2 linked regions of the Notamacropus eugenii genome follow. The main gene of each other region encodes a partner of the protein of the gene in region 2 in a complex. Links are inferred from orthologs where the notes say so. Each region holds a gene or a part of one and is shown on either strand. Other genes may lie near its edges.

Evidence for each region. Proteins that work in one complex are often made in the same cells at the same time.
Region 1: the proteins of GIPR (region 2) and GIP are in contact, whole or in part, in a cryo-EM structure (PDB 7RA3), measured with the Homo sapiens proteins. The link is inferred for Notamacropus eugenii from reciprocal best matches to the Homo sapiens genes GIPR and GIP. Residues at the interface, in NP_000155.1 of Homo sapiens: Gln30, Thr31, Ala32, Leu35, Tyr36, Trp39, Tyr68, Trp71, Leu88, Trp90, Arg101, Arg113, His115, Asn120, Gln130, Arg131, Leu134, Glu135, Leu137, Gln138, Tyr141, Tyr145, Arg183, Ile187, Arg190, Asp191, Pro197, Gly198, Pro199, Tyr200; in NP_004114.1 of Homo sapiens: Tyr52, Ala53, Glu54, Gly55, Thr56, Phe57, Ile58, Ser59, Asp60, Tyr61, Ser62, Ile63, Ala64, Met65, Asp66, Lys67, Ile68, His69, Gln70, Gln71, Phe73, Val74, Trp76, Leu77, Leu78, Lys81.

The regions. Positions count from the first base shown.
Region 1 is NC_092873.1:352,061,145-352,064,889, forward strand, and holds the start of GIP (gastric inhibitory polypeptide), read left to right. Parts: upstream 1-1,619; 5' UTR 1,620-1,630; coding exon 1,631-1,716; intron 1,717-2,806; coding exon 2,807-2,953; intron 2,954-3,745. UniProt on the Homo sapiens protein: Potent stimulator of insulin secretion and relatively poor inhibitor of gastric acid secretion.
Region 2 is NW_027325105.1:183,194-186,938, forward strand, and holds the start of GIPR (gastric inhibitory polypeptide receptor), read left to right. Parts: upstream 1-911; 5' UTR 912-1,062; coding exon 1,063-1,125; intron 1,126-1,574; coding exon 1,575-1,674; intron 1,675-2,167; coding exon 2,168-2,275; intron 2,276-2,989; coding exon 2,990-3,093; intron 3,094-3,209; coding exon 3,210-3,313; intron 3,314-3,745. UniProt on the Homo sapiens protein: This is a receptor for GIP. The activity of this receptor is mediated by G proteins which activate adenylyl cyclase.

The sequences.
Region 1 (3,745 bases), on a different chromosome or scaffold from region 2:
TTCACCTCCCCATTTAAGGTTTTCATAACCTCTCACCTTATGCTTTCATAAAGCATTTTCAAATGAGCCACTTTAGCCAGGGAAAGGTGGAGGCCAGGCCATTCCAAGATTAACTCAAATGTTAATGACCAATTAGTATAATTCAGGTGGAAAAGGAAGGTTTACCAAGTGGTAAATGGCTTGGAGATAGTGTAAACACTGGGCTTGACTTCTTGTGATAAGAAGCTTTTAATCTAATCAGTTCCTTTATATTTAGGGAATATAAAGGGATTGGAGTTCCGTAGCCACCAACAGATTTCCCAGAAGCAGACTTGGAAAAACTTGCAGGTAAGAGGAATACTTATCTTCTTGTTGCTTGTTTGTTTCAGTGATGTTCAAGTCTCTGTGACTCTGGGTTTGTTTGTTTATTATTGTGGCAAAGAAAAAAAAATCAAACGGGAAGGGAAGACCCTCAGGGTTCCTGAGTAAAAGAAACAATTACTATCTAGTTATTACATCCACTCTATTCTGGGTGAGTGGGGACTTGTTGTCCAGTCTATGAGCTCCAGAGTGAATTGGTTTAAGACTTGATCTTTGAGCAAGAAATGTAACCAGTAAACCCAAGGGAAAAAAGGCAGCTTTTGGAACTTTCCCCTGGGTAGAAGGAGAAGAGAGGAGAGGAGAGGATAAGAAGGGAGGGGAGGCGAGGGGAGGAGAGGAGAAGAAGCCTATTCATTGAATGGGTGTATCTCATGGGTCTCACATTGCATCAGGCCACTGGACCCAGATGGCTCAGAAGAAGAAAGTAAGGCTGGTGACCTTGCACAGCCCTCCCTCACTCAAATCAAAGTCAACTGCAAGTCATGTCATCATCCTGATGTCATGATCCTCTTTAAGAACAAAAGACAAACACAACAAAAACAACAATTTTGGCAAAGATACTGGAGTGGTTTGTCATTTCCATCTCTGGTCCATTTTATAGATGAGGAAACTGAGGCAAACAGGGTTAAGTGACTTGCCCAGGCTCACACAGCTAATAAGTGTCTGAGACTGATTTGGAACTAGGGTCTTCCTGACTCGAGGCCTGGTGCTCTATCCACTGTGCCATTTAACTACAAGACAAAACTGCAAGACAGAAGAGAAGGTGAGTGATAAAGGCTAAGAAATGGATAAGATAGAATAAGATAGAATCTAGTAACTGGGGGATGTCTGGAATCCTAAAACCATCTCTCCCTCTCCCTCTAGATAATGCTATCTCTCTCAGCACTAAAAATGGCAGTCTTTGGGGCAGAGGGTAATCTTGACCTGGGGTCTCTGGATCTTTTGACCCTTGACCTCTGACATTGGCTGTGAGACCCTGAGCAAGTCACTTAAATTCTCAGTGATCCAGATGAGTCTCTAAGATTAAAATTAACAGAACAGTTGCTGATATGGTGGTTTCTTCACCTATACCTACAGCTGCCTACCACTGTGAAATCACAGATCCAGACAGAAAATCCCCCAAACTCCAGACTTAGTCCAGTCTCTGCTGCCCTTTCTACCCTAACCCCTCCATAAGGCCATAGCTACTACTCTGACCCCATTCTCAGCTCGGCTCGACTCAGTTAAATCACAGCCCTTCTCTCTTGTCTCAGGAAACAGGACTGAGAAGATGGTGAAAGTCAAGGCTTTTTCTCTGATGCTGTTGCCTCTATTCTTGGTAGTAGTGAACAGTGCTATGGAAGAGGCTCACTTCAGGTAAAGGTATCTCTTGCTTGACAGAGTAGAGAGAAGGACTGGAAGTATGACTCCATCTTGGGCTTCCTCACAGACACCTATTTGGCTTAGAGAGTGAGAATTTAGTGACCATAGATAAGAGAAGCCCAAGGAAGTAGTCTAGCAAAAGTCTCTGAAGGATGCTAATTGAACTATTCTTCTTCCTCAGAGGATGAGGCCAGGGTGGGTGGAGTTTAGGCTGCAGGCAGGGAGATTGAGAATAGACATTTGGAGGAATTGTCTGATAGTCACCTGACTGAGGAAAATTGGAATATCGCTTCTTGGAGAACTTCAGCTAGCATCTATTTTCTATTTCTTGAATGGGTTAGGTTGGTGAGTTGCCTTTCCAAAGGTAAAGAGATAAACTACAGACTTTTTTGGGGGGGTAGGGGAGGGCGGTCTATATAGACTGCATCATTATGACTGTCTATCAAGGAGCTGAGTAAGGCAAGAAAGAAAATGGAAGTGTGGCAGAGGTGATCAGGAAAATCCCTGACTTACTCAACTGGAGTACCTCCAGTGGAGTTGGACATATACTCTGCTGAGAGACTTTCTTCTTTCTGAGATTATTTAGCAACTCCTTATAGCTCCCAATTGAAACAAGAGTGATTCTTGTTTCAGGGGAGTGATTCAACATGAGGGGAGGAGGGGAACCTATATGAGAGGTCCCACTTTCTTCTAATTTCTCCTGCCTATATCACAGCTTCCACTGGAACCAAAGTGATATATTGAGAGAAGTCCCTGGGTTGAGAATGAAACTCCATCTATATCATATCTCTGACAAGATATTTGGGCATGAAAACACATAGCCAGTAAAAATGAGCTCAGTTTGTTTTTTAATGGGTCTTCCTGAGTTGTTGTAAATATTTTTCTCCTGATTGCTATTGACCTTCCTTTCCTTCCTTCCATAGCTTTCCCTGTCCTTTCTTCCTCTCTCATCTTCTATCCCTCTCTTCTTCTATCCCTCCCCCTGATCTGTTCCCTGTTCTCTTCTTCTTGATCCTCTCTTGATTCTATTTTCCATCATTTCTTACCTCTCAGCCCCACTGAGTCGCCTCTTCTCACACTGTAGGCCTCACCCCAAAGTTGGTGGCCCTTGGGCTCGAGGACAGCGCTATGCTGAGGGGACCTTCATTAGTGACTACAGCATCACCATGGATAAGATCATGCAACAGGACTTTGTTAACTGGCTGCTGTCCCAGAAGGGGAAAAAGAACAAGTGAGGAGTTTCTCATCTCTTTCCCAGGGTCCTCTAAGCCCTTGCTCCTCTACCTCACTGTTTCCCTGGGTCCCTCCTCTTCCCCTAGCATCTCCTGGTTCCTTTCTCACAGTGTTCCCCAGTTCTCTCACTTTTTTTAAGTGTTTGCTAACTTATTTTTCCTTTTAAAAATTTTTAACATTATTTTTTTTAAATTTTGAGCTCTAAATTTTCTCATTCCCTCTGATCCCAGTCCTTCCAACATCTTGACAGCCCAGTCCCTCTTTTCTAGTATCCTCATCATTTTCCCCTGGAGTTATCTCTCTTCCTCACCTTTCAGCTCCCAACCCCATTATCTCCACCCTTTTCAGCCCCTCATGTCAGGTTGGACTGGTCTTGCCCTTAGAGCTCAAACTGTTGTCAGTGGTCCTCTAAAGGCACCCTGGAGAAGAGCCCTATCCACTTTGCTTCAGTTACAGCTCTGATTAAGTGAAATAATCCAGTTTTGGGGTTGTACCAAATTGCTTTTTTCAATACTGAATCTACGTCACCACTTTTAAAGGGAGAACATATTGAACTCTCAGGAGTTTACAGAAAGGAGAAGGATATTGAGGCAATACGAAGTGTAGCACTCTCAAATTTTCTAATGGCAGGAAACTTTGGGAAGAGGATAAATCAATCTCTATTCTCAAGGGTTCCCTTTATCACTCTTCAAGACTGGTCTTAATGTAATTGAGGGTGTCCTCTTTGGGGGCCCTGAAATTTGTGTAGTGATAATTGAAAAATGAATTAAGGAATTGGTTGGGTGAAGGG
Region 2 (3,745 bases):
ATGGATCCCCTCCTGAGAAAGGTGGGGAATGGAAAGTACGTTGAGATATGTGGCAAAATAGAGACTAGGCCAACAGTTCTTGGAGGGAATGGGAGGTGGGGTGGGGGGTGGCAAACAGTCCATTCCTTCATTCTCAGTCTGGTATGGGGAAGCATTGGAAATGATTTAGAAGTTATCTAGTTGTTCAGTCATTTCAGTCGGGTCCTACTCTCCATGATCCCATTTGGAGTTTTCTTGGCAAAGATACTGGAGTGGTTTGTCATTTTCTTCTCCAGCTCATATCACAGATGAGGAAACTGAGGCAAACTTGCCCAGGGTCACACAGCTGGTAAGTGTCTGAAGCCAGATTTGAACTCAGGAAGATGAGTCTTGAAGACTGGCACTCTACCTGGCTGCCTTATAACTTAGAAGTTAGGGGAGATCAGAAGCCATCAACTAAATCCTCTATTTCTGCCATGGATCTCAAAGTGCTTTCTGGAAAACACAGAAACAGCTTGATCTAATGGGTTGAAATCCTCTTTCTTTTTTTTCATTTTCTCTGTACAATGGGCATTGTAATAATATTTTCCATCCCCCACTTTCCTCGGGAGGGGTTCCATCCACTACTTTCCTTCTTGACAACACCTCAGATCTCAAAACTTTTGGAAGCTAGAGAGGGATTGGGGTAGGGACAGAGGAACCCAGGTGTCTGAGGCATCTGAATGAAGGAGAAAATGTGGCTCTATTTGCTTTGTCCCAATTGTTCTCACAGAGTAGTTAGGAATAGGGACTGGATCCATGATTTTCATTGGTATAGAGAGCTACTAGGTGACGAAATTCCCTCTGCCAAAACAGGTTAGCTCTTCCCTTCAATTTAATAGTCACTAGATTGTGTAGACTAAGGTACCAAGATGCCCTAAGATGAGGTGACCTTTCAGGGTCACAGAGCCAAGATGTGTCAGAGAGCTTCCTGGCTCCAAGGTCATCTGTGTCTCATGCTACCTTGCCTCCCACAAGATTGTTAAAAGAAGCTCCGAGGCACTCCTGGAACCGTGGGCTCTGAAGGCCAGATTCCTTCCTGTGATGTTGACATCTCCACTTGTCCTGATTCTCTTGCTGTCCCATCCAGTCCTGTGGAAAGCACAAGTAAGGTGGCCATAAGGGCTTAGAAATCCTCCTGGGGGTGGAGGGGGCTGAGGGATAAGAAAACACACCCAGGACCACTAATGGTGGGTTTACAGATGCCCTCCTCATTCCCAAGTAATTGTCACATGATCAAGTTTTCCAGGTTTTAAGACACCCCTCAGTTTAGATGGCTACTCTAGACCACCTCCTTTCCCTTTCTCACATCAGCCTGCAAATCCTGTCCCCTGACCCCTTGCTGATACCTTACAAATCTGGGATAAGTACAAGATCTTCTATAGGAGAAGGGTGGGGAACATTTCAGGATATAGAGGATGGGGCAGATGGGATGGGTTCTGATGGCTTTCCAAGAGGGTTTTAAACCTCACAACCAATTGTGGTAGAAATTCCAAGATCCCTTCCTCTTCTCCTGTGCACCTGGGGGTCTGGGGAGGAGGGTTCTTTCTCCACAGGCCAAGTTTCCAAGGAGTACAGCAGATGAGGCCTACCGTCGGTGGCTGCAGTACCAGGCTCAGTGCCAGGAGGCTCTAGCTGCTGCTGAACCATTGGCAGGTGAGCTGGGGCTCCTGAGGGATGGAATAAGTGGGCTGGTCTGAATCTCAGAAAGAATCTGGGGGGAAGGATCAAATGCATGCAGGCCACTATTCAGGCTGATGGAGATGCCTTTACAAGACCCCAAGTGTCTCAACTGTGGGTGCTGGGGGATGGCTGTGGATGTATTCAGGCAGACTGAAATGTATGTGTTGGAGGAGGAGGATAGGAAGGGATTGGTGGAATGACCAGTCTGTCCAGACCTAGGGGAAAGCATCAAGGATGGGCATTCCATGGTATGGAGAGTTCACGGATATGATGGGTCATGCTTGAGCTAATGAAGGGAGGAGGAGGTTAAAGCAGCCATTAGAGTCTATGGGAAGGATAGGGGAAGAATTCACCTCCTTCACAAATCCATATTCTCTTCCTCTCTCCTCCCCACCCTCCTTGGGGAAGCCTGGGAGATGGAACTGGGAGTGAACATCTTTGCCTCCTTTGCTTCCTCCTCCCCCAGGCCTTGCCTGCAATGGAACCTTCGACATGTATGCCTGCTGGCCCCACTCACCCCCTAACACCACAGCCAGTGCCCCCTGCCCCTGGTACCTGCCCTGGCACCAGGAAGGTGAGGATTCCCTCCTTTGGAGAGTAGCAAAGAGGCCCATCTCTTGAGGCTTTGAGTCTGAGGCTGCCTCAGTTTCCCTTTTTCTACCTGTTTTGGGGTTTCTCTGTGTCTCTCCTTTCTCCTCTCTGTGGGAGACTCGCTATCTCCATGTCTTGGTGTTTCTCTGGTTCTGTGGTTCTTTGACTCTCTCGGTGTTATCTGAGTCTCTTTGGTTTCCTAGATTCAAGTCTTTGTCTCCCCATGGGACCTTGGGAAAGTCATCCCCCCGGCATGGGTTTCAGCTTTCCCCTCACCCTGTGTAAAAAGAGGAATTGAGTTAGATGTTCTCCATGTGCCTCTTATTCCGTGTTCTAATGAATTGTATGCTCAGGGACCCCCAGGTCTGACACACTCATACTGAGCTCCTCTTTCTCTGGGAACATCTCTGTATTTCTGTCTAGAATGGCACGAGACAAGGACCTGGGCTTGAAGTCAGGAAGACCTGGGTTCGAATATTGCCTCAAACTATGTGACCCTGATCAAGTCACTGAACCTTTCTAGGCCTTAGTTTCCTCATCTGTAAAATGAAGAGATCTCTTCCAGCTTGAAATCTGTGACCCTGTGAGCTCTCTTAGTACCTACAGGTGCCTCTCTGGGTCTCTGCCCCACCTCACCTTCCACCCTGACATCACACCCCTCCTCCAGCCCGGTCTCTGTCTTCCACGTTCTCTATAGTGACCACCGGCTCTGTGCTGCGTCTCTGTGGGGCTGACGGGCAGTGGGGATCCTGGAGGGACCATTCCCAATGTGTGTCTCCAGAGACAGAGCAGGTCTTCCAGGTGAGATTATTACCCTTTCCTCAGGGAGACTCTGGAAAAATCTCGATGTCTCATGGGAAAGTGTGCTATTGATCTCAGGGCTGTGTGCTGAGCTCTGAGGGTCTTCTTTCCTCCAGAGTCAAAGGCTCATCCTGGAGAAGCTGCAACTGATGTATACAGTGGGGTACTCACTCTCCCTGGTTGCCCTGTTGCTGGCTCTGATTATACTCAGCTCCTTTAGGTAACTGGTCCCAGAGGAGAGACAAGACCCTGTCCTCAGAGGGCCCCCAGTCTAAAGAGAGACTCAGCTTTGCTCTTTAGGAGACTCTGGATGGGTGGGGGGAAATATGTGAGGGTGGAGGACAGACATGTTTTCAAGCACAAGGGCCTTTAGATGGATGATGGATCAGACTGGTTGTTTGGCTCTAGAAGAGAGGACTTCTAGGCTCCATGTCAGGAAGAGCTGTCCAAAAGTGGAATGAACTGTCTTGGAAGGTGGTGGAGTCCCCTCTGTATAGACATCTTCAAGCAAAGATAGGATGACCATTTGTTGGGCAAGGATGGAAGGTCAGCCCAGGGCAGGCTTCCTTAGGGAGAACTGGAAAGGAAATATATGGAGTATGTGTTGGGGTGGGGGGGAAGAAGGGGAGAGCTGGTCGCTATGGGGCAAGGT